3 linked regions of the Arabidopsis thaliana genome follow. The protein of the gene in region 2 interacts with the protein of the main gene of each other region in a pairwise test. Each region holds a gene or a part of one and is shown on either strand. Other genes may lie near its edges.

Region 1 (7,714 bases), 4.0 Mb from region 2:
ATTTGCCAAACTTTGTAGGTATGTATCACATTCATATTTTTCGAAAATAAATTTAATGTATATTGTACCATATATTCAATGTATCAAACTACGTAACGCGTATAATTGAAGTGGTTTCCAACAATTAGTAATAGGAAAACCAAAACAGAAACCACTATTTTTGTTTTATCATTCATATGATGTAACGGTCAATGTGTTCGTCATGATTAATTGTCTGAAAATTATTAAGTTGGTATGTAAGGAAATGGTAAAAGTATTTTTATATTATTTATTAAAATTAGTTGAAAAATGTTTTGGATGATGTATCCAGTATCCATATAAGTATTTAACATTTGAAATCAGTTTCTACATGTCATTTCTTTTCAAGTTATTAAATAGACTTTTATTATTTCTATCATAAACGTGCAAATATTATTTTGGAATTTTTATTCATATTTAATGTCTTATTCATTATAATACCACAAATACAGATATATTAAATAAACATATTAAATGAGACAACTAATAAAATTCCACATTAAGTTTTATGCCCAAAATATTTTATGTTTTTTTTAATATACATTTTAAAGAGATGTTAGCAAATATGTCACCTAAACAAAATCTTCATGCTTATCATTTCGCATGTAAATATAATTTAGCTAAACTGAACATAAGAATTAAGAAGGATAAAATGTAAAAATAAAGTTAAAAATATATTGTTGTATGAGTTTAGCCATAAAACGCAAATATAAAGTTGTTATTGTCATGGACTCATGGCTAAGAAATTTCAAATCAATTACTGAATTTGGATAGAATATAATCGAGAAAGTGAGGGGCATCGATTATGGGAGTTAACTTAAAGAAGTGGACAACAGCTTCAGCTTTGTGTCCACGAGACAAAAAAAAAAAAATTGTAGAATGCTTTCACATGTTTAGTCTCCTTTTTGGACCAATAAAATGTTCTAATCATCAAATGCAATTATTCTTAATTATATTTCCTTTTTGTCTCTTAGAACAATAACTTATCTTCAATTTTGCTTGGGACATAACCTAAAGATTTCTTCCAACAACAGTAAAGTTACTTCTGAGAGTGAGTTATATAATGGGGACTAAGTAAACAGCACGCATACCTTTGTTTCAATCACTCTTCTCCATTCATTACAACTATTATTCTAAAGAGCTCAAAGAGATGATTTCTCATCATCCCAAGTTTTTGGATTTAAGCTTTATGAAGTATGACTCTTAAGATTGAATATAGTGTTTAGTAATGAATAATCATCAATCTATTAAACAATGATTTAATACATAAATTGCAACAAAAAGAGTTTAAATTGATAAGAAACTTTAGTCCTCTCTAACGAACCATACAAACATTATATGAATATGTAAAGAAAGAAAGATTTAAGAGAAAAGAACGTTAAATTGCCGCTATAAAACGAATTTTCTTCGTTGTATGTTTTCGATTAGATTCTCCCAAGAAAGAAATCTCTTGTGAATGTTGTTTTGTTTTTTCATGTTGGAGGCAGTTTTTGGCCTCATCATCATCATCATCGTAATCACTCCAAATCTCTGAGGCTTTCACTTGTCAACCACAGTTTCTTCTGGACAATGAGTATCACATTGTCCGAGTCTTGGTCTGATTCCGAGGCTGTCTTGGTTTCAACTGCTTCCCAATGCAAAGCCTTGAGATACTTCTTCACAAGGTCGACTACGGATTGTTTGTCCCTTATGAGTATGAAACCGCTTGGACGAAGTATACGATCCATCTCCAACAGCAAATCTTCTGCGCTGCAACCTCTCTTCTTGATATCAGATATGATGTCCCAGGCATGGAGTAAATCGTAAGTCCTCGGGTAAGTCGAGAACGCTTCACACCTGCAATATTATCAGACGATAAATCATAAGAGGCACATATATACTAATGGATTTTGATTAAGTGAAAGGTTAAGGGAGAAACTGACCAGCTATGAACAGCACCCATCAGGCCTCTGTCGTATATTAGTTTAAGCGTGTTTGGTCCGTCTTCAGGAACAACATTCATAACCCAAACATCTTTTTCTTTCAGAGCAGCAGCAAAGGAACCCATGCTTGCTTTCATGTCCATTATGTTCCTTACAGTGTCTGATTGAATTTTAGGACTCAAGAGATCCCAATAAGTATCTACTCTCTGCCTCCAAGTTTCCTGTATGAGCAAGCAATGATTTAAGGTGACTACAGTCTTTATATTATTGGAGCTTCAATTGCAACAAATAAAAAGGATAATGGGCATAACATACTGTATCCTTCTCAAAAATGTCAGTGGAATAGCCAAAGTCAGCTAGCCGAGGAGGAGGAGAGGTTAATCGAGCTGGCCATGGAGCCAATCCACTTCCCTTGGTTTTGTGGTCATCTAATAGAAACGTTGAAAAATAATTTAGTGAGCATATTTGTTCTCAGATATGCAATATCACAAGCTTGTGAAGTTAATGACGAAACTCTGTTAGTGAAAAGAAGATAGAATAATGAAAACTCACGGTCACTGTATTGAGTAATGCATGCTTCCATGTTTACACCATACACAGCATCAGGGTCACTGTCAGAATTGCAAAGAGGAGGCTGGGTTCCAGGTTCTCTTCCCAAATAACAATCATTTGTCAAAGGTTTTTGCCAAATTACAGTTTGATTCCTTTTTGCAGCTATCGTCCAACACATACGGCCCACAAGAGCACTCATTTCTCTCCATATTCTGAGGTCCTCTTCATCTTGTGCATATGCTTCTGGAGATGAATATGCAAAATAGCCACCAGGTCTTAGCACCCTGTCTAGCTCGAGAAGAAGAATACCATCTCTTTGAAGCCAATCGATACGACAACGTGAACAGTGAGCAAGTTCAAAGGATCTGCTTGGGTATGGGAGCCTCTTGGTCCCTAGAACGCCGAGGTATGCAGGAATCCCTCTCTCAAGAGCAAATTGGATTTGGTTCTGATGAACATCATTAGGTGCCAAAGACATCGTCATAATTTCTGATGCAAGAAGATAACCTCCAAAGCTAGCAACACCACAGCCAACATCAAGAAATGTCCTCAGCCTTCCCCCATTGTTCAAAACATTGTTCGGAAAATTAAGCATCTGCAATTTCCATGAATAGTATCAGTAAATGAAGATGGACACACACCTCTATTCCACATAAGATCTAGTAACTGCCTTACATTTGCCATTGATGCAATATACTTATCAGCACCATAATGAAAATGTGTGCCTCCACCAGGGAAATTGATTTTCTCTCCTTTAACAACCATCCAGTTTTGGTCAGACTTCTCATGCGCTAAGTGAGTATGAGGAATGTTCACTTTCCAAACTTCGTCTCTGCTTTTCGGCCACTTGATTGGAATCTAGACACATTCACATAGAAAAAAACTTCAAAATATGTCAAGACACTGATCATATCAACAAAGCTAGAGAAATAACACACCTTATACCCTGGAGGAGGAGGAATCAAGCAATTAAACCTCCTTTCAGGAGGAGGACAGTGACGTTCATAATGCTCCATCAAAGACAAATCAAGCTTCAATCTCATTTGGTATATAAGATTCCTATCTAAGCAAGGAATAAGCTCCGAGTGTCGATCATCACACACCTTTACAAGAATTAACAACAATATTAAACACATATTGCTCAACTCAATCATCAATTACACAAAGAAGGTCTAAAGAACTCACAGGAAAGCTTCTGGGAGTGAAACCATTCCCTACTACATCTTCTACATAAAAAGAGCTAGAAGTGTCATCTTTCTTAGTACTATCATCATCATCACCACCCAAACCAAGTTTCCTCCCATACTCAATAGCTTTATGGTTAGAGGAACCAAAGAAGAGATATACAAAAACAAGCACTACTGATGCAACGCAGAGTAACACAATCACCGGCTTTTTCTTCCCTCCTTCTGATCTCCCCCTCATCGCCGCCGTTGTGTATATTAGTGATTACTCAAAACAAGAGATTCTACAAAACAAACAAACATATCGTGCTTATGCCATTAACAATCTAAAAAGCTTCTTATCAATGGATCTGATAAACAGAGAAACAAAGCTACGATAAAAACACACAATTAACGCACAACAAAATATCGATATCGAATTCCAAAATTAAACAAATCGTAAACCTAGTTCCGGAGGAAGCTTCAGATACAAGGTTAAAGGAAGGAATAAGAAAATCAGAGAAACGGATTAAGGAAATCACTTACCAGTAGAAGGAGAGAAACAGAGATCAAGATCAAAAGAGATGCGAAATTGTAGGTCATTCAAATAGAGAGATCGGAGAAATGAGAGTGAGATTCGGATCTGGAGAAGAAGTTTGAGAGACTGCTTCTTCGTCTTCTTCTTCGTTGGTCTATATTGGGATTCGAACGAACAAAAAGTAACAAAAGCGGCAGCGAAAGAGATATAATGAGAGAGTGAAGAGAGAAAGAGAAATAAAGCGTCAAAGTCGTTAATTAATTTTTCATTGAAATATTTGGTTTAGTTTTATGTGTCGGTGATCTTTTTTGTTTTCGTAACATGAAAATATGAATTATATGAAGAGGAATTGTATTTTCTTTTATTTATTTATATATATTGATGACTTTTTGTGTGTTTGAATATTGTCGCCTCTGGATCTACGCTTTTTTTCTGGTCTTGGTGAGAGTGGGTTACTGGGAAAATAAATGACTCGATTTGGTTCAGCTTACACATGTCTAATGGTTGACTTGTCCCGATTTTAATATATTTTCTAGAGCTAGTTAGTTAGGTATGTAACCAATGTTACGAAAAATTAATTGAGTATACTAGTGTTAGTTAGGATGTAAAAAACGTAAGAAAAGAAAATTAATTAAGTGGATATTTTAGAAACTTATGTCATTTGCAAAAGCTATTTAATTGGATGGGTGCTATACTCTAACTAACATGTTATTTGGCAAATTGTTTTGTAAATTTTATTATCATTTTCTTGTATCAAATTGTACATATTGTGTTATTTTCGTCGTCATGCTTCTATATATGATCCAAGTATCCTCAAGTTTTCGAAAATATATATTGCAAAACACACGAATAAATTCGTATGATAATTTGTGTTTTTTTTTAAAATTAATCTTATTAGCTGGTCCGATTAACACAGATAAAAAAGAAGTGCTTTAAAGTACATTTTTTTCAAAAGGGCCACTACACTGTTTGTTCTGAATTTGGACTATTTTTCGACCAGATCATATATTAGTGACTACCAGATAAGATGTTTAGGTATTTGGCTCAAACCCAGACATCTCACACAAATATAATTTTTTTTGTTTCGAGGGTGGACCAAACATGGATTAGTTCCTTTCAACCTTTCTTCAATTCTCAATCACCACTAGAACATGGGCTCTAAATTTTCTTTGATGTTGTTTAAGAAACTTTTGTACTAAATTTTCTTTGATGTTGTTTAAGAAACTTTTGTTGTTGTTAGACTTAGATTTTCTAAGGATATTTTACTCATTCTATCTTCTCTTTTAAAATTTTATGGACCTGCCATTTCTACAAAATAGTACTAAAATTGGTATTTTTTAGTTAATTCATCAAAAATTTGTCCATAATATGTTTTGGTATATTACCACTTGTTCACTAAAATTTGTCCATCAAAGCTAAACCCCCAAGAACTAGTCCATAAATGATATGTTTGGTAGATTTTAATGGCCACCTTTTGATTGACCACAACATATTATGGACAAGTTTTTTAGACGACTACCAAAACATACCTATAATTTCAGTTTAACTTTCTCAAAGTGGTAGATCCACAAGATTTTCTTTTAAGGGTAGAATGATGAAATTTTTATTTTTGTAAATTCCATGGAGTTTCACTCATCCACCCTTCATGAACATAATGGCTATAAACTTGTATTAAGATATATGATGTTCTTCCTTCGAAATTCATATTATTTCTTCTAAACTCATGTCTTTTGTTAAATGGAATCCAAGATGAAATATATATAGTTTAATATAACATAACAATATCATCTTTAATGTCGTTGTTGTTAGAGTTTGAATAGCCTTCAAAAAAATTCTGTGAACAGTATGTTATATACCAATTTAATTTCAAGTTGTGTTACATAGACTCACCACTACAAGTCATGGGTCCTTTCTAAATTTATGTCATTTAGTGTATACTGTAAACTAAAAAGTTCATATACTTAATCCATTTAAAATTATGGTCGTTTAGTGCAGTTCTGTTATTTTTGTAACTCACTAATTACTTTGTTTTAGTCGACCTCAAAACAAAACAATAGTTATTTGATTCGGCAATTGTGTTAAACAAATGGGTTAAAGCCTGTAAATAAATGGGCTCTCACATCTTGAGCTAGGTACAGGTATGGCAGAGATCGGACTGAAGATCTAACGGAGGAGAAAAAAATGTTTTTTAGGCACAACTAGTTTTGTTTGTGGTAAAAAAATTGCTAACTACTTAGAAGAACTGTTGCGAAAGATACTCAGCTACCTCACCATTTTTCTAAGATTAATACTTTACTGTATAATTACCTTAATTATAGTAGTATTTTATTAATTAATTGTATAATTTCTTAAATCTCTTTTTAATTTTGAAGGAAAAAGTAATCTTTTTAAACTTAAGTCAGAATAAGTAAATGATATAATAATTTCTGTTTTTATATAATAAAATACAGATTGTTTCTTTATAATTATCCATTTTACATTTTTTAAATTGTTTTACGTATGATATATAAGTATAGTTTCCTTGTAAATATTTGTTTACATTTTTAAATTGTTTAAAATTATAAATTTTTATAATTATGTTTTATATTTTTAAAATTAATAGAAAGATATTTTGGTTTATCAATGTCAAAATTATATGAGATCACTAAAGTTGACATGTGACACAATCTTATAAATTACTAAACTTTAAAAACCAAGCTTTATATAATAAAAAATTTATTGACTTGATAAAAAGAAGGAAGATTGTTGCCTAATTCTTTATCTCATATAGCTTTAGAGGTAAACAGGTTAATCACTTTGATTTCCTCTAAACAACAACTTCAGCTCAATATCACCTTTTAATCTTGCTTAAAACCTTACTGTCAAATATTCTTTTGATTTTTCGACTAACTTGATATATTGATGCTATCTAATTACTAACTTAAGCGTCAAATGTACACGATCAATAGTCAGAGCCGGTCGTATGCAACATTTACGATGATGAATAATGAAACAAAACACATACGAGTTCACATGGAAATTATAGTACTAAGGCAACAATTTGATTTGACCAAAAAAAAAAGACAACAATTTGACAACTTTCAGAACCAAACTCCTACTTATGTCGATAAACAACAATTGTTAACCAATAATGATCATTTAACGAATGTTGGAACCAACACTTAAAAGGGAAACGTTACATAGGTGCACTGCAGATTGGTTGGTGGACCAAAGCGGGTCAGACCGCATCACACGCTCTCACCGTCTCATTTGTCATTTCATGTCAGCTTTGCTCAAACGATAAATGGAAAAAAAAAAATAGTAACTAGATAACATAAATGTTGCTTAGGACCGGCCCTGACTTATGATCGTGTACATTTGACGCTTAAGTTAGTAATTAGATAACATCAATGTATCAAATTAGTCGAAAAATCAAAAGAGAATTTGACATTAAGGTTTTAAGCAAGATTAAAAGGTAATATTGAGTTCAAGTTGTTGTTTAGAGTAAATCAAAGTGATTGACCTGTTTTACCTTTTAAGAT
Region 2 (7,329 bases):
TCAGCACTTGGAATCTCAAAGTTATCGAAAAGATCAAAAAAGGACCTGCTCGAGTAGGTCACTTTTGCGTGGCCGTACATTTTTATAGTTTTTCATTATTATTAAAATATCAATTTAAGATGTCATATGTTGTTAAACAGAAGATAATTTTTTTTTTTTTTTTATAAAATTTGAAGTGAACGCCACAAGAGATTTTACGTATGAAAGCTAAAGCAAATAAAAGATGAAGCAAATTTGTTAGTTCAACATTGTTCTTTATATTTCAAAATTTGGTTGTTGTTATAGTTCAGGTAATAAATATTTGCGGGGGTGTCTGTCTAAACAAGAAAAATGGATAGTTGAGGAAAAGAAGAAGAAAATGGGTACAATGTGATGTCAGTTGGTGGAGTGGCAGATCGATGGGATTTTCACTGCTCTTTTGGCTCAAACCCCTATGTCTCATGTGCTTCCCTCTATTTGTTTTTTACATATATTTTTGTGCGAAACTGAAAATATTTTTTTCAATAAAAAACCTATACGTAATATTTCTAATCTTTAAATTTCAATTATGTGGCAGTATAGAAAACAAAGTCGTATAAATTCTATCGATAATATGCATTATATGCAAATTCTAATTCGGACGATGACACAAAAATATCGCTAGTATAAAACTAAGCTACATGTCATGGTGACATGATTTTTTATAAATGTTTGTGTAAGAAAAAAAAAGATAAACATTGTTCATAAATGATGCTTTTGAAACTTCTTCGTAATTAGACAAATACAGTCATGTATTTGTTATAGTATAAACTTTGAAAAAAACAGGGATACGAATAGTGTTATGTTAGAATAAATGTAGGAGTATGTATAGTGGGGAAAAGATGAATAGAACCATCGTTTTCGGTCATTTTGATTCTTTATACGCTTCTTTATGGAGAGAGAGAGGTCAATCAAAGAATCTGAAAGATTGATCTTATGACTTTGTCAATAGGTCCATGCAGGGACCATAAGGACCCCAACATATGAAGATGTTTTGCTAAGTATTGAATCATGGAACAAATCAACGAAATAGTCAAAACAAAAGGTCTATCTAGATAAATTATAAACTGCTAATTGCTCAATCGATATTACTTAATAATGACTAAACATGCCGAGGCAAACATTAAATTTGGATTAGAATTGCATGTTGCATGACAAAACTTATATATGTATTCTTACTATTTTCTTAATTGTTCACAAAACTATCATCTATATCTATCTTTCTATCTATCTATACAAGTGATGGTACACACACATGTCCTACCACTCTGACTCTACCGACATTATTGTCCTGAGTTTTTTTCTTCCAGAAAATCTATGTCCGAATCCCCAAATTGATATGAATACGATACTATGAGCACGATAACTCCGGAATATAATCTAAGAAAAAGAAACAAAAAAAATTCTGAAAAAGAATGTAATCCGTTCTCCAGTGTATGTATCTCTGGTTTTTTACTCGTTCTCCATTATTAATTTATGACGTTTAAGAAAGACTCACAAACAAGATGAATAAATGATACAAGGGGATTTTATGGCATATGCAGATTTTGTTTTGAAGTAATAATGTAACAAATCGACATTGAAGTACCTTCCACAATGCGCACTATGCACAAGAAAAGACTCGTCAAAAGCAAAGCAAAAGGTGGGGATGGCTCTTAAGGTCAACAGCTTAAGAATCTTGAGGAGTCTCGAATCTAGTCGGTGTATCGATACCCGCCATACAGCAAAGTCCACTGATCAAGATGAGAAGAAAAACGATTCCCTGCAAAAAGAAAAAGAAAAGGACGAGACATAATCAAAGGCTTTTACGAAATTTTAACACATTGAATTAAATTATCTTCCAGCTAGATATGACCAAGATGCTCATTAAACTTGTCCATTCTATGATGTTTATGAATCTTTCTTGAGAACGATGAATACCAAAAAAACACGAGTAAAAAGAGTAATTACCACTAGTATGCCCTCCAAAAGTGATGACTTAAATTTGCAGAGTTCATCACAGCCAGTAGCAATTTCAGGAGTACTGTTTCCTTTAGCAGTTTCAGCTAGAAACCTTTGGAGAGTTTTGTAAGATGTGTACCAATAAGGATCAGAAACATAAAGAGCTGTATATTTACTGCCGGATTGTTCTACAGAACTAACAAGTTCCAAGAAGCTTTCACCTGCAGAATAGGTCAAAGAATTGCTTAATTTCCTAGTTCTCAAATGATATCTAATTGTTAGTATTATTTTGTAATGATCTTTCCACTTACGCTCTGAATGTGACTGTCCAGCTTGACTATTCGATTCAGAACCCTCGGAACAGAGCACAACCAAGTCAGTTTCTCCTTCTTTCCTTGTTTCTCTTCTAGCAAGCAAATGATCCTGTCAATTATTAATGAGTATTAGAAAGTGAAGTTAAGGGGGTGATAACACTGGGAAGGCATGGGATTAGGGAAAATAAAAACTTAAGAGCAATGAGTATTACTTTGAAAGACTGCAAGTCTGAAAGTTTCTGAATTGTTCCATCCTCAACAAAGCACGAATCTGAGAACACGATATTGCTGACTCCTACATTGTTGGGACAAGCTTCTTTAAGCCCTGAAAGTAACAAATTCTCCATCCTTTCTTCCTCTGGAGCAGCAATATATGGGAATGCCAATGAGAAGTTGGAAGCTGTAAATAGATTCTGTTGAAACAAAGACTTGGATGTTAGAGTATTGTAAACTTTATATCAAACAACTATGTCAGAGATCTGTGTTACGGATGCAATTTCGAAATTTCTTGTTGAAGAAAAGAAAATTTGCACTTACATTCAATGTGTTAACAAGGGCAGGATCTGAGTTCCTTTTTGAAGAAACATCAGAAGACAGTAACTGCAGGCGGAAGAGAACGTGAATATTAGAATTCTCAGCATAACACAGAAGATACAGAGCAAAGACGATTAATTTCCCGCAATATTAAAACATCAGTTTCTTTACAATATCACAACAAGAAACCAAAGATCCACAAGGTCATTTATGCTAATGTTAAAACAACAATACTACATCATTCAATTACCTCTCTGCCTATGAACACAAGTGCAACATCAACAGGTTGCTCAAGCTTCTTCTCTGAGCACTAAACAAAGGAGACAGTAATGACAATAAGAAAAATCATTTGACATCCAGTGAGTTGTAGAATTGAAATCATAAGATCATGAAGAAGAAACCATACCAGAAAGTTTGACCAACCTCCTTGAGTGAAAACAGAACCAACTAGATCCTTTGCAGACATGACCTGATAATTTACAGCCTCATCCAATTCACCATTAGCAGACCTGATTTTCAGAATCACATAAACCAATCAACCCAGTAATCTAAGCTAACTCACATCAGATATCACAAGTCCCAGGCTTTTTACACATTTCCATCAATCAAATTGAGAATTATAGAGAAAACAAGATGCATAACTGGAGATGCGGAGACCAGAGGAAAGCAGGAACTGTGTTCGGAGAAGCCAATCCGATTTCAAAGAGAGAGGCCACAGATAGAAACACCAATAGCGCCACCGCACCAATTTGAATCTTCTTCATCTTCGTCGTCGAAACAATTCTACCGGAGACAAAAGGAAAAAAAATCAATCGAACAATTCCTCACGCCTAACGAAACAATCAGCAAATTCAAAGATAATCACAAACCTAGAGAGATCGAGATCGCTTCCAGAAGTCGATGTATCAGTAGATTTTTATCGAACTTTCAAATCCAGAGAAAGAAGAGATTCATATCTCCGATCTTCAAATCTGGGCGACACATATGAGTAGTCGACATGTAAGGAATTAACGGCGTCGTTTTTGAAACGAAAATCGCTAACCGAGATAACCGGTTTCGGTTATGTTCAGATATTAACCGGTCTGAAGTTTTGGGCTTGATTAGGCTTTTAAAGATTTTCCAATACGGCCCAAAATTTCGTGACTCCGTTAAGCGTCCGTCACTCTGGACAAGAAACGGAAACCTCCTTAAATCTTATAATAACTTCGTCACGATTGAACGGAATATTTCGTTTCCTCATTTTTTTATTTTGTTGCCTCTTCTGCAACGCGATCCCGCCAAAGACACTCTTTACTTTCTCCCTCACGAAAATTCTCAAATCGTCGTTCTCTCTTGATTCACCGATTTCGTTCGCCGGAAAATTGCAATTTAGCATCAGAATCGTCGAGCCATTTTGTATTATGAAAGTCCATTGAAGTAACAAGTAACGAGAGCTGCGAGGTTGAGATTTTACGATGCTTTGTGTTTCGTTACGAAATCGAATACATAATTGGCTTCGCGACTACGTTAGGCTCCAATCTGTCGTTTTGATTCTTATCTATGCTCAGGTAAATCCGTAATCGCTTTGTAGTTGTTTCATTTCCTCCGATTTCACGTTTTTTCTCGTGAATTGTTCGTATCTGTTTGGGATTAGGGTTCTACGATTTCTCTGTCGATATTTGTTTGTTATTCTTTTAATTGTGGTTAGAAGTGCAAGAAACTCATATTGATGAATCATTTGTTTCAGATAGGGTGCGCGTTGATCGGTTCACTAGGGGCATTGTACAATGGAGTCGTGCTGATAAATTTGGCGATTGCGTTATTTGGGTTAGTAGCAATCGAGAGTAATAGCCAAAGTCTTGGCAGAACCTATGCGGTTCTTCTTTTCTGCGCCATTCTTCTTGATGTCTCATGGTTCATTCTCTTCTCCAAAGAGATTTGGTATGTCACTATCCTTGGAACAGCCGTGCTTGTGATCATGATCAAATATTTGGTTTAAGAGTTTGCTCTGTCTTGTTTAATTTTCATTGCATCACATATTGTAAACTGTCCTGAATTTCTCTTGATTGGCTCATCATCTTTTTGAACTGATTGATCTTTAAACCTTTTTTTTTGCAAATCTTTGCTATGTCGTGTTTAGATTCTGTTGAGCCAGTATTCATCTGCTGCCTATAACTGACAAAAGATTTAATTGTTAATGCAGGAACATTTCATCTGATATGTATCAAGTCTTTTACATCTTCTCTGTGAAACTCACCCTGGCTATGGAAATTGCTGGGTTCGTTGTGAGGCTATCGTCCTCTCTGTTATGGTTTCAGATCTATAGGCTGGGAGCTTCTATTATAGACTCTCCATTTCCCCGTCAATCAGATTCAGATTTACGGAATAGCTTCTTAGAACCTCCTCTTTTAGCTAGGCAACGTTCACGTGATCCAGAATTACGAAATAGCTTCTTACAGGCTCCTGCTATAGCTAAGCAACGTTCACGTTCTGACGAAATCTTGGAAGATTCTATTGACGAACCTGCCTCCTACACTCCTCTGTTAGATGGCGGCCTAAGCAATATCACTTTGCCCAATGCAACACAGGTCTTTTTATTTCTACCTATTCTTCTCTTAAGTTGTTTGTGTACTCATTGTAGTTGAGGTTTTTATACTTGGTTTGTCTATGGTTTTACCAATTGGGTTTCCAGATGCTTCTTTTCGGACCTTTCTTTTGAAACTGTATGCAATATAGTGAGAATTGGATTGAACTATCTAGATCACCCAACCATGCTTTTTAGCTCTTTGCCACTCTAGGTTAGGTGAAACTTGTTTCTCACTAACAAACAAAGGCCACATAGTATTGATATTACATCATAGTATGCTGCTTTTCTTGTCTCAGTACTCCTCTAAAACTTACACAGACATAGCAAGTGGGTTTTCAACCTTTTGTAGGTGATTAAGCACCATTCAGCTGGAGACATTTACAAAGGATCCCAATCATCTGCTGCAGAAGCCTCTCGAAAGAAGTCTCCTCTATCCAGATCCTTAGAAGCACTTCATTCTAGTCTCTGTTGATAGAACATCTAATGATTGTGGACGGTACTATACTATACCTTGCTTTTGGTTAGGTTAACTTTCACACTTGACCTTTTTATAGACATAGAAAGAACACTTGTTGCTTTGGTATATCCTTGGACTCAGTAAATTGCATGTGTTTGTCAATCTACATTACTACTTGCAGCACTGCTCTCAGCTTTTATCATTTTTGCCTGGCAGTTTCCAACTCACTTTTGCAGGAAGATAGCTTTTGTCACGAGCAACTTCATTCAACAATTCTAAGGCCATTCTTTGTTTTCAATTTGAAGAATCCAGATCCGAGATTTACATAGTGGATAACAAGCAAGAACAATGCCTTTATCATCATTCATTTTACTCGGAACTGTATAGAATTGGGGTTATTTGGACTACGAATGTACATTAGCATTCTTTTCTGTACATGAAAAATAGGTGAATCGGAGGGTTAGTATAAACTTCAAAGATAGTTTTTTCATCCAAAATGTTTGGTAAACAGTGAAGTTTTTATTGCAGATTTTTAAAGTAGCAACATGATTTGCCTATGGGGAAATATTCTTTGTAATATCCGTAAGAGAATAGAAGAAACAGATATAAACATAATGTTATCATTTTATAAGATCTAATGACAACTTGAGGAGACTAACTTGGTGCCAGATTCCAGCCATTTTAGTCTCTCTATTTGACTCGAGTTCTCCAACTCATATGATTAAATGAATGATGAATATGGCGTGGCATGGGGCCTAATGTTGAACCACCGGCCCATGTGAATTGCGAAGTTGCGGTACTAATTAATTAATTGGGCCTAATAGTAGCCAAGGAGTTTCGTGCAAATTAATTCTTTGACCTATAAAAATTGGTATAACTTACTTATCCACGTCGGTCTGACTATTATTAAGATGAGATTTGATTAGATTAATAATTTTGAAAAAGGGGTCAAAGACTCAAAAAAGTCTGCGTGGATCTCCAGCCGTTTTCAGACACTTACCCACAAAATATTCCTCTCGGCGATGATCCCTTTCTGCTGAATTTTTGGTCCTTTGTCGCTCGACTGTTTTCTTCGTCTACTATTTGTTCCTTTTGGATATTCTTCGGACTTTTCGTTGATTTGATTTTCAAGAGGTAAGTTAATAAACCGTGTTCCCCGATTCTCCTATTAAAGAGGTTTGTGATGTTTTTGATTTCTAGGTTTTTTGTTGTTTGAATTTTCTCGTTTGAAATCTCTAATCTCTACAAATCTTCCGTGATTGAGTTTTGATTAGTAAAATGATTCGTGATTTGATTTTGATTTCTCTGTTTTTATTATCTCTGGTTGGTTTGGTTTGATCAAGTCTCTGATGCTAGGGTTCGATATCGTTTCTGCATTTCGTAAGAAGAAACCTTTGGTTTAAATCTCAGTGTTTTATTTGGCTATGAAGCAGAGAGAGTTTGAACAAGGAAGGATTGAACTATGGAAGATGCATCAGAGACTAGCTACTGGTGTCACA
Region 3 (8,426 bases), on a different chromosome or scaffold from region 2:
CTCCTTCTCTCCCCTTCTCCTCCGTTTATTCGTTTCAGGATCACTCTATCTTTTCCAGTTTAGAGCGTAAAATTCTCTCCGTCACAATTCATTTAGGGCAAAATAGTTGTGTGTATAAGTTTTAATATAGACGAAATATTGAACCCATTACCTTTTTTTTTTTTTTTCACAATTGAACCCATTACCTATGCGAAGAAAACATGAAACAGTGGGGATAAAGAAGGAGTGGTTTTCGAGGACCCGTGATATTCATTTTTTTTTTTTTTCATCACCCGTGATATTCAAACTCATCATATTTATACACACAGACTATAAAGAGAAACAGACTATAAATAGAAACATACATTATTTTGATAAGTTTTGGAATATTCGACAACAGAAAATTCTCTCTATGTGTGTCCAATTATATTCGGTTTATGTAGGTGGTAATTTAGTAATTAATTACCAGTTTACCACACAGAATAATGGTCTTCCAGTCAAAGTGATTGTAATGTGATTTATACAAATACATTTTGATATTAGTATTTAATTTCTCCAACATGAACTTTGCATTAAATTTGATATATTCAAGTATAGTAATTTTTTTTATAAGTATTCAAGTATAGTAGTTTTAAGATTCTTTCTACTTAAAGAAGATAATAAAAAGAAATGAAAATCTCTCTTTACCAAAATAACAAATTTATTTATGGAAGATCTACTTACTGTAAAATAAAAACAGAGGATAAAAACTTGAAACTTTCCAAGAAAAATAGTCCTATAAATAAGACTTTCACGAAAACCTAAAAGATAATAGAACCTATGGGTATCAAAAAAACCTCTGCAACTGTTTTTCTTGTAATTATATTGACAATTTCGTTTTCTTATTACGATGTTGAGGCCGAGTCAGGTATGTTGTTTCTTTGCGAAGATGTTTATTTTTTTTTGTTATTTTCAACTATCTTTGATCACTACCAAAACAATAATTCAGGAAACAAAAAATTCTTAAAAATATAGAATTAGTAATACAATATTACATGTATCTGTGTATATGTATATGTTGTTAAGAACCTTGAAGAAACTAAAACTGTTATTTGGACATGTATCTACAGATTTATAGTTTTAATGTGGAGTTGTATATATGTGCAGTGATCGAGCCAGCAAAATATGGTGCTTGCCTTTTTCTATGTGATGCTAGACGGGATGATCATGCATGCTTCTATGACTGTACTAATGTAGCTATTTACCGGACTGGACATTGTGTTGGAAATCCTCCACGCTGTTGTTGCATCAGAGGATAATAATCGATTTATCTTCATGACTTCATCAATAATTGGTGAATGGAGCTTGATTTATGTGTTTTCTAGTATATGATTCTAAAAGATGAACTTTTTGAATTGTTGTTTTTCAATTTCTTGATAATGAATAAAACATATAACTTATCATGAATTTTGGTATTGGATTATGATTTTTGAGAGCTTATATGATCCAAAGCAGAGAACTTGGGGAGTGGTGAAAGGCCTTGAAGAAGGATTATTGCCTGGCGCTTGTAAGTGGTCAAAATGAGTTACCCTGGTGGGAAATTGGTTCTGTTCTTGCAGAAAACAGAGATCTTGTGTTTGCAGAAAAATTGCAAACCGAATCTTACATTTTCCATATCTCCTTACCCATTTTATGTTCGCAGAAAAATGAAAGACGTAAATTAGATTTCCTCACATTTTTTCACATAAAAAGAAAGAAAGATTTCCTCACATTTATTCAAGACTAGGTACAAAAATTCTTTGAAGATCATTTTGAAAAAGGATTAGGTCCACTAGATTGAAAAAGACTAGAAAGTAAAAAAAAATGAAGATATGTTTTCTTCTACATGAACCTTATGATGCAAATATCATTTTGGCCAAATACATAAAACAACAAAAATTTAACTTAATTTAAATCAAATTAACACCAAAAAGAAGATTAGAAAAAACATGTCTATTGAAAAAAGAATATGGAAGTATAAAGTAAAACAGTACTAACACACTATAAAAAAAAATGTATTATTCTTCGTTTTTCAACCAAACACTATGATTTGTGCTTACGTAACAAGGTCTGATTGATATTTTTTGTTTAATCCCGTAAGACTAAATATAAGATTCGCTCAATCGTCAAGTAGTTTAGTTATTAGCTAATCAAAATATGATTATCTTTTTTATAATTTAGTTAAATAATTACACTAATGTGAGCTGGTTTGACTTTTGATTTTAACCACAAGAAGGAGACAGTAAGACAGACTAATGATTAGCTGGTTTATTACATTTGACAACAAATCTCTCACGCGTCAGAGATGACGTGGCGTTAACTATTCGGATATGAAAAGCCCTGCGTGTTTTAAAAAAATGGCATGGCCCATTGGGCTAGTTAAGTGAGAGTTTGTTTTTTTTTCTACCCCTAATATTACTATATTACACTCATGCCACAACCAAAAGCTAAATTAATATTGTTGTTTTTAATTGAAGGTTATTTGATATACAATATTAATGGAAAAAAACAAAATAATATATATTTTTTTTTACAGCAAAATAATTGAGAATCATATTACCAGAAACTTAATACAAAAAATAAGCTAAAAATTCCTTACAAAAATGAAGATGATGAAATATAGATTGAAAATATAATTTAGCAGTATATACAATATAGCAAATGATAAAGTGAATAAAACAAAGTTTTAGCAACTAAAATTAGCAAAAAAGCTTTTAAGGATAAAGATGATAACATTCTATTAACATTATATCTATGAGATAAGTACGTGACAAAACGAAAGAATTGGATAAAGAAGACATGAATGAATGGCAATAAAGATCAAAAATAGATCATACACTAATAATGACCAGATCAATAATGTCCTAATTAATTTATTAACACTTGATCAAATAATTTATTTTTTCGTTTTACTAATGGGTTGTTTTTTTGGATCACAGTGACCAAAGCAGCTTACCAAACGCGACACTTTAACCTCTATATATAAATCTCCGTCTAGATTCCTTCCTTATCTCTCTCTCTCCTTTCATTTTCACTACTTCTTCGTCTCTCTCTCTCTCTCTCTCTCTCTCTCTCTGTATCCCTTGTGTGTCGGTGATCAGATCTCGTGCCGACGAAAACGTGCGTCTAAAGCAATGCTGTTCGCACTCTGCTATCTTCAATTCCTCGATTTATCTTGAACTGCGATTGTTTGTTGTTGTTTCGATTTCGTTGGGGGTAATTGGGTGAATTAGAGAGGTGAATGAGAAATTCGCCTGCGATTCTGTCTCTGTCGGTGATCGATTGCCGGAGCAGAACCAGGTCGGATTCTAGCTTCGCCATTTGGAGTAGTGGTCGATGGGGCCAATGCGGCTGATCTGAATTTCTATTTCCCTCCCCCCAATTCAGATCGAATTCTAGGGTTCTTCTAATTCCTGGGTTTTTAGTCTGTGTTTCAATTGAGTCACGATGCAGCAAGATAATCGCAAAAAGGTGAAACAAAAACTCTTCCTTTTTTCCAATTATTCCATCCGATACTATCTGTTCTGTCTGAGATATTTATGTGTGTGTTTCGGTTAATCTTGTTTGTTTCCTGTTACTGTCTTTAATCTTTTTGCCGTTTTGGACAACTCTGTTTATGATCAATGAACGTTACAAGTGTCATCAAACAAACAACGCATAATTGTCATCATTCAAGACAAGATGATGTGTTGTTGAGACATTTTTTTTATTTCTTCATCAGCAAATTGACATTCAATTGCATTGATCCTTCATTAGGCGTCCTTTGTAGCATCAGTAGAGAACCTTCTGCATCTGATTCTTGTATAGTGTTATCTCTATTGTAATGTTTCTGACTTGGAAGTAATGGTATTTGTAACAGAATAATCTGGAGATGGAGTTCTTTTCTGACTATGGCGATGCCAATAGATTTAAAGTTCAAGAAGTTATTGGAAAAGGCAGTTATGGAGTTGTTTGCTCAGCTATAGACACTCTTACGGGTGAGAAAGTCGCGATAAAGAAAATTCATGATATTTTTGAGCATATTTCTGATGCTGCGAGGATTCTACGTGAGATTAAACTTCTTAGACTCCTAAGGCATCCAGATATAGTTGAAATTAAGCACATTATGCTTCCTCCTTCACGAAGAGAATTCAAAGATATTTATGTTGTCTTTGAGCTCATGGAATCGGATCTTCATCAAGTTATTAAAGCCAATGATGATTTGACTAGAGAGCATTACCAGTTTTTCCTGTATCAGTTATTGCGTGCACTGAAGTACATTCACACAGGTAGTCTTTTTCTTTTGGTCTCTCTTTATCCGGCATCTAGCAATAGTCTTTTCATCTTCAAATCTCTCTGTGTGTATATATCGCTCTCTCTGTAGATGAAAATCTTGGACACTTGCAAAATGTAGTGTATGTCAGATTTGTCTTTTAGGACTTTACATTCTACAGTACTATCTCATACATTGATGCACTGAATTGGATTCTTGCGGTTTCCATTGTCTGGCTAAATGTTTGCCTTTTGAAGTTTGCCCCAATATATCTGAACTTTAACTCAGCTGTCGAGTTTGGTTTGTTGTATTATATTATCTTATGAATCTTGGTTGTTGCAGCTAATGTCTACCACCGAGACCTGAAACCAAAGAACATATTGGCAAATGCAAACTGTAAACTTAAGATTTGTGATTTTGGATTGGCAAGGGTTGCATTCAATGATACCCCCACAACAATCTTCTGGACTGTACGTTTGACAAGATGGCTCTCTAAGAGTCTTTTCCTTCTCTTAAACTGAAGTTGGTCTAAATATTATTCACTACGTTGCAGGACCTGATACTCTTCTACATTATTTTCTACTGAATTTACAGGACTATGTTGCTACCAGATGGTATAGAGCTCCAGAGCTTTGTGGATCTTTTTACTCTAAGGTGTTCATTTGTTCTCTATATAACATCTTTTAATTGGTGTGTTGCCGCGATATAACTTTTGATGGATTTGGCTTTGTAGTATACACCCGCAATTGACATCTGGAGTATAGGCTGCATTTTTGCGGAGGTGTTGATGGGTAAACCACTTTTCCCTGGAAAGAATGTGGTTCACCAGCTGGATCTTATGACTGATCTGCTAGGGACACCTTCCCTGGACACCATCTCACGGGTATTGATCTTCTTGCTAAACGAAGTCCATTGAGTTTCTACACATCTTAAGCAAGGACCAGTAGTGATGAGTACCCTGCTTTTATGATGTTATACAGGTGAGGAATGAGAAGGCAAGGAGGTACTTAACAAGCATGAGGAAAAAGCCACCCATTCCGTTTGCACAGAAATTCCCAAATGCAGATCCTTTGTCTCTGAAGTTGTTGGAGAGGCTTCTTGCTTTTGATCCAAAAGACCGGCCAACTGCTGAAGAGGTGCTTTTCAACTTCCATATTGACTAACTATCTCAAATCTTGAATTCTCGGCTTCCTGATTGTTTTCTCTCTCTAATAATAGAGTATCATGCATTTGGGGTTTCTATTGGAGTGAATCACTAAACTACTCTTGTATACTTGAATCAGGCACTTGCTGATCCATATTTTAAGGGATTGGCAAAAGTGGAAAGGGAGCCTTCATGTCAACCCATCACGAAGATGGAATTTGAGTTCGAGAGAAGAAAGGTCACTAAAGAGGATATAAGAGAGCTAATTTCTAGGGAGATACTTGAGTACCACCCTCAGCTGCTTAAAGATCATATGAACGGGGCTGATAAAGCCAGTTTTCTCTACCCAAGGTCGTAATTTTTGTTGATTACATTCTTGAGCTAGCATTGCATATCACACCCAGTCCCTGACATTGATGTATACTGTGCAGTGCTGTTGATCAATTTAGAAGACAATTTGCGCATCTTGAAGAAAACAGTGGTAAAACCGGCCCTGTGGCACCTCTAGAAAGGAAACATGCCTCTCTTCCCAGGTATATCCTCATTTTTTCTGTAAAGTCTGTTGTCACTTGATCTGGTTTCGGTGATCTCCTCTGTTTTTGACCCCCGTTATGCAACTGCTATACTAGTTGTATATTAATATACATTGACATGGCAAGGATAAAAAAGATGGAATCATAAGACCGTGACTATCTGTTTCTTGTGTTGAACACTAATTTCTATAAAAATATGTCCTTCTGACTCTGTGTTTGCATGCTTTCAGATCAACGGTCATACACTCAACCGCAGTAGCACGAGGAGGACAACCAAAACTTATGAATAACACAAACACATTGAACCCTGAAACTACTCAAAACATTCCTTTTAATCATGCAACAATACAAGCACAACAAAGAAACCTCTCAGGTACTTTTAATCACTCATCCTGAATCCAACAGCAATGTGTCCAAACTGACCTCTATAAACTGTAAAACATCTATCTACACGCAGCAGCCAAACCAAGCACATTCATGGGCCCGGTTGCACCTTTCGACAATGGCAGAATCAGCAGAGATGCATATGACCCGAGATCATTCATCCGGAGCACTAATCTCCCCTTTTCACAACAATCTGCTGCAACAGTCGCCATGGGAAAGCAGCAAGAGAGAAGAACAACTATGGAGCCTGAGAAGCAGGCAAGACAAATATCTCAGTATAATAGATATGCACCAGATGTAGCCATCAACATAGACAACAACCCGTTTATCATGGCTAGAACGGGAATGAACAAAGCCGAAAACATCAGTGACCGGATCATAATCGACACAAATCTGTTACAGGCAACTGCCGGAATAGGAGTCGCAGCGGCAGCTGCAGCAGCTGCTCCTGGTGGTTCTGCTCACCGGAAAGTTGGAGCTGTTCGGTACGGTATGTCAAAGATGTACTAGTTCTCCACCTAAGCTGGGCTTTCATCACACAGAACATTGTATGTTTCCATCTTCATGTCATAAAAGAAAATTGTCTATGACACAAAACCATATGAGCAAAAAATATTTTTTTTATTAATTGTGATCCATCATTTGTTTGTTTTTTCTATTCCGACAAATAAATAAATGGATGTTAGATTCTGGTATATATAACAAGAAAGGTTGAGAGTTTTTCACGTTTAAAAGAACCGCTGGCTACAGAAGATGGATCAGTGTGGATGCGCATGGTGATGATGATGATGGTTTCATGGCACATCCAAACGCATGTGGTGGTGGGAACCCATATCACAGGCACCACTTTGTTCTTCCAAATGTCAGTAGAAACAGAAAGGTGCATTGTCACTTGATCATATCTTTAAACCAACCAATTTGTGTATATATTTTTGTGTAAACAGTTGAGTTCGCTTACTTTCTTCCTAAACAAGTTATTTCTTCTACAAATTAATAAATGAGCACAATGAGAGATTGCTGTTCAATAAATAGTATCTCAAAATAGAAATATCAAAATAAAATTAGAAAAAATCATTTAAAGATTATTTATTCACTTCTATTTTAATTAAAATAAAAATAAAAAAATTTGGGATCTTTCTTCTTCTTTCTGATTATAAAGTTTTTAATAAAATAAGTTTTAAAGCAAAAGAGAGATATAGCAAGTGAAAATGCATGTACAATTGAAAAAAATGCAACTAAATGAGGCCAAGAGAGGAGACAAATAAGGTTAGAGGTGGACCCAAAAACCACTGTATGCATTGTCCCAGAGATCACCCATCATGGTAGGTCCACCTGTGTGGCCCATATCTCCAGCCTTTATAGAAAAAAAGAGAAGATAACTAATTAACTTCCCTTGATTTGGAGTTTTTTAGCTAAACATTACATATTTTCTTTCTTAATCTTCCCCTTTCTTAATTCTTAAAAAAACATATACTGTCTTGTCTTTAACCAAACTCTTCTCTTTTATTTTTGTGGCAACAAAAATAAATAGTGAAAGGGAATCATCTCAAACTCCTCCTAGATATAAATATTTAGGTTTTCGTCATTAAATAAAAGTTATTTTGGAAAAAATAGAAACAACGAACAAGATACAAAAGGACATAGAATTGATTATTCCAAGACGACGAATGTGAAAGCTGGCTAAAAGCTAAAATTAAATTTCGAGTGTGTTATTTTTGTAACATATTTAATGTAAGTGCAAATACATAAATAAATAGATACTAGAATTGGGGAGAGTGTCAGTTTGGTAGATGGTGAAATGCGAAAGGCACCCGATTTTTGTAAATCTCAATCCCGAGAAACCAAACCCTCCTTCGTCCCCTCTTTGGAAACATCATCTCTTTCTTTATTTCTCTCTTCCATCTTCTTCTTCTTCTAAAACAACATCTTAACAATTTTTAGTATTACTAAAAACCCTAGACGTAAAAGAAATGTGTTATTCTGTTCCTGATCTTTGTCTTAATTAAGACCATACATTATTTCTTTTAATTAGATGTCAATCATTATTCTTTACTAAATTTTTTTTCTTGAGTAGATTTAGGTTAATTTGCAATCTTGGATTAAAGACCTACAAAAA

Evidence for each region. The genes of interacting proteins can lie anywhere in the genome.
Region 1: the proteins of AT3G13410 (region 2) and AT3G23300 interact in a protein complementation assay, tested with the Arabidopsis thaliana proteins (one large-scale study listed by BioGRID).
Region 3: the proteins of AT3G13410 (region 2) and MPK20 interact in a protein complementation assay, tested with the Arabidopsis thaliana proteins (one large-scale study listed by BioGRID).

What each region holds. Positions count from the first base shown.
Region 1 is NC_003074.8:8,329,724-8,337,437, reverse strand, and holds AT3G23300 (S-adenosyl-L-methionine-dependent methyltransferases superfamily protein), read right to left. Parts: upstream 4,642-7,714; 5' UTR 4,202-4,641; intron 4,172-4,201; exon of another isoform or gene 4,121-4,171; intron 3,961-4,120; 5' UTR 3,918-3,960; coding exon 3,678-3,917; intron 3,596-3,677; coding exon 3,431-3,595; intron 3,351-3,430; coding exon 3,168-3,350; intron 3,088-3,167; coding exon 2,493-3,087; intron 2,369-2,492; coding exon 2,256-2,368; intron 2,162-2,255; coding exon 1,941-2,161; intron 1,855-1,940; coding exon 1,536-1,854; 3' UTR 1,203-1,535; downstream 1-1,202.
Region 2 is NC_003074.8:4,360,462-4,367,790, forward strand, and holds AT3G13410 (2-C-methyl-D-erythritol 4-phosphate cytidylyltransferase), read right to left. Parts: upstream 3,856-7,329; 5' UTR 3,677-3,855; intron 3,591-3,676; 5' UTR 3,572-3,590; coding exon 3,450-3,571; intron 3,317-3,449; coding exon 3,214-3,316; intron 3,118-3,213; coding exon 3,058-3,117; intron 2,874-3,057; coding exon 2,811-2,873; intron 2,687-2,810; coding exon 2,486-2,686; intron 2,383-2,485; coding exon 2,271-2,382; intron 2,181-2,270; coding exon 1,969-2,180; intron 1,781-1,968; coding exon 1,688-1,780; 3' UTR 1,174-1,687; downstream 1-1,173. Other genes in the region: AT3G13420 (uncharacterized protein), read left to right, coding at 4,262-4,354, 4,534-4,727, 4,990-5,374, 5,723-5,845; AT3G13430 (RING/U-box superfamily protein), read left to right, coding at 7,293-7,329.
Region 3 is NC_003071.7:17,838,966-17,847,391, reverse strand, and holds MPK20 (MAP kinase 20), read left to right. Parts: upstream 1-3,011; 5' UTR 3,012-3,444; coding exon 3,445-3,468; intron 3,469-3,856; coding exon 3,857-4,265; intron 4,266-4,591; coding exon 4,592-4,719; intron 4,720-4,843; coding exon 4,844-4,903; intron 4,904-4,982; coding exon 4,983-5,132; intron 5,133-5,229; coding exon 5,230-5,385; intron 5,386-5,532; coding exon 5,533-5,744; intron 5,745-5,824; coding exon 5,825-5,926; intron 5,927-6,156; coding exon 6,157-6,299; coding exon of another isoform or gene 6,300-6,322; exon of another isoform or gene 6,323-6,383; coding exon 6,384-6,820; 3' UTR 6,821-7,224; downstream 7,225-8,426. Other genes in the region: AT2G42885 (Defensin-like (DEFL) family protein), read left to right, coding at 799-886, 1,126-1,277.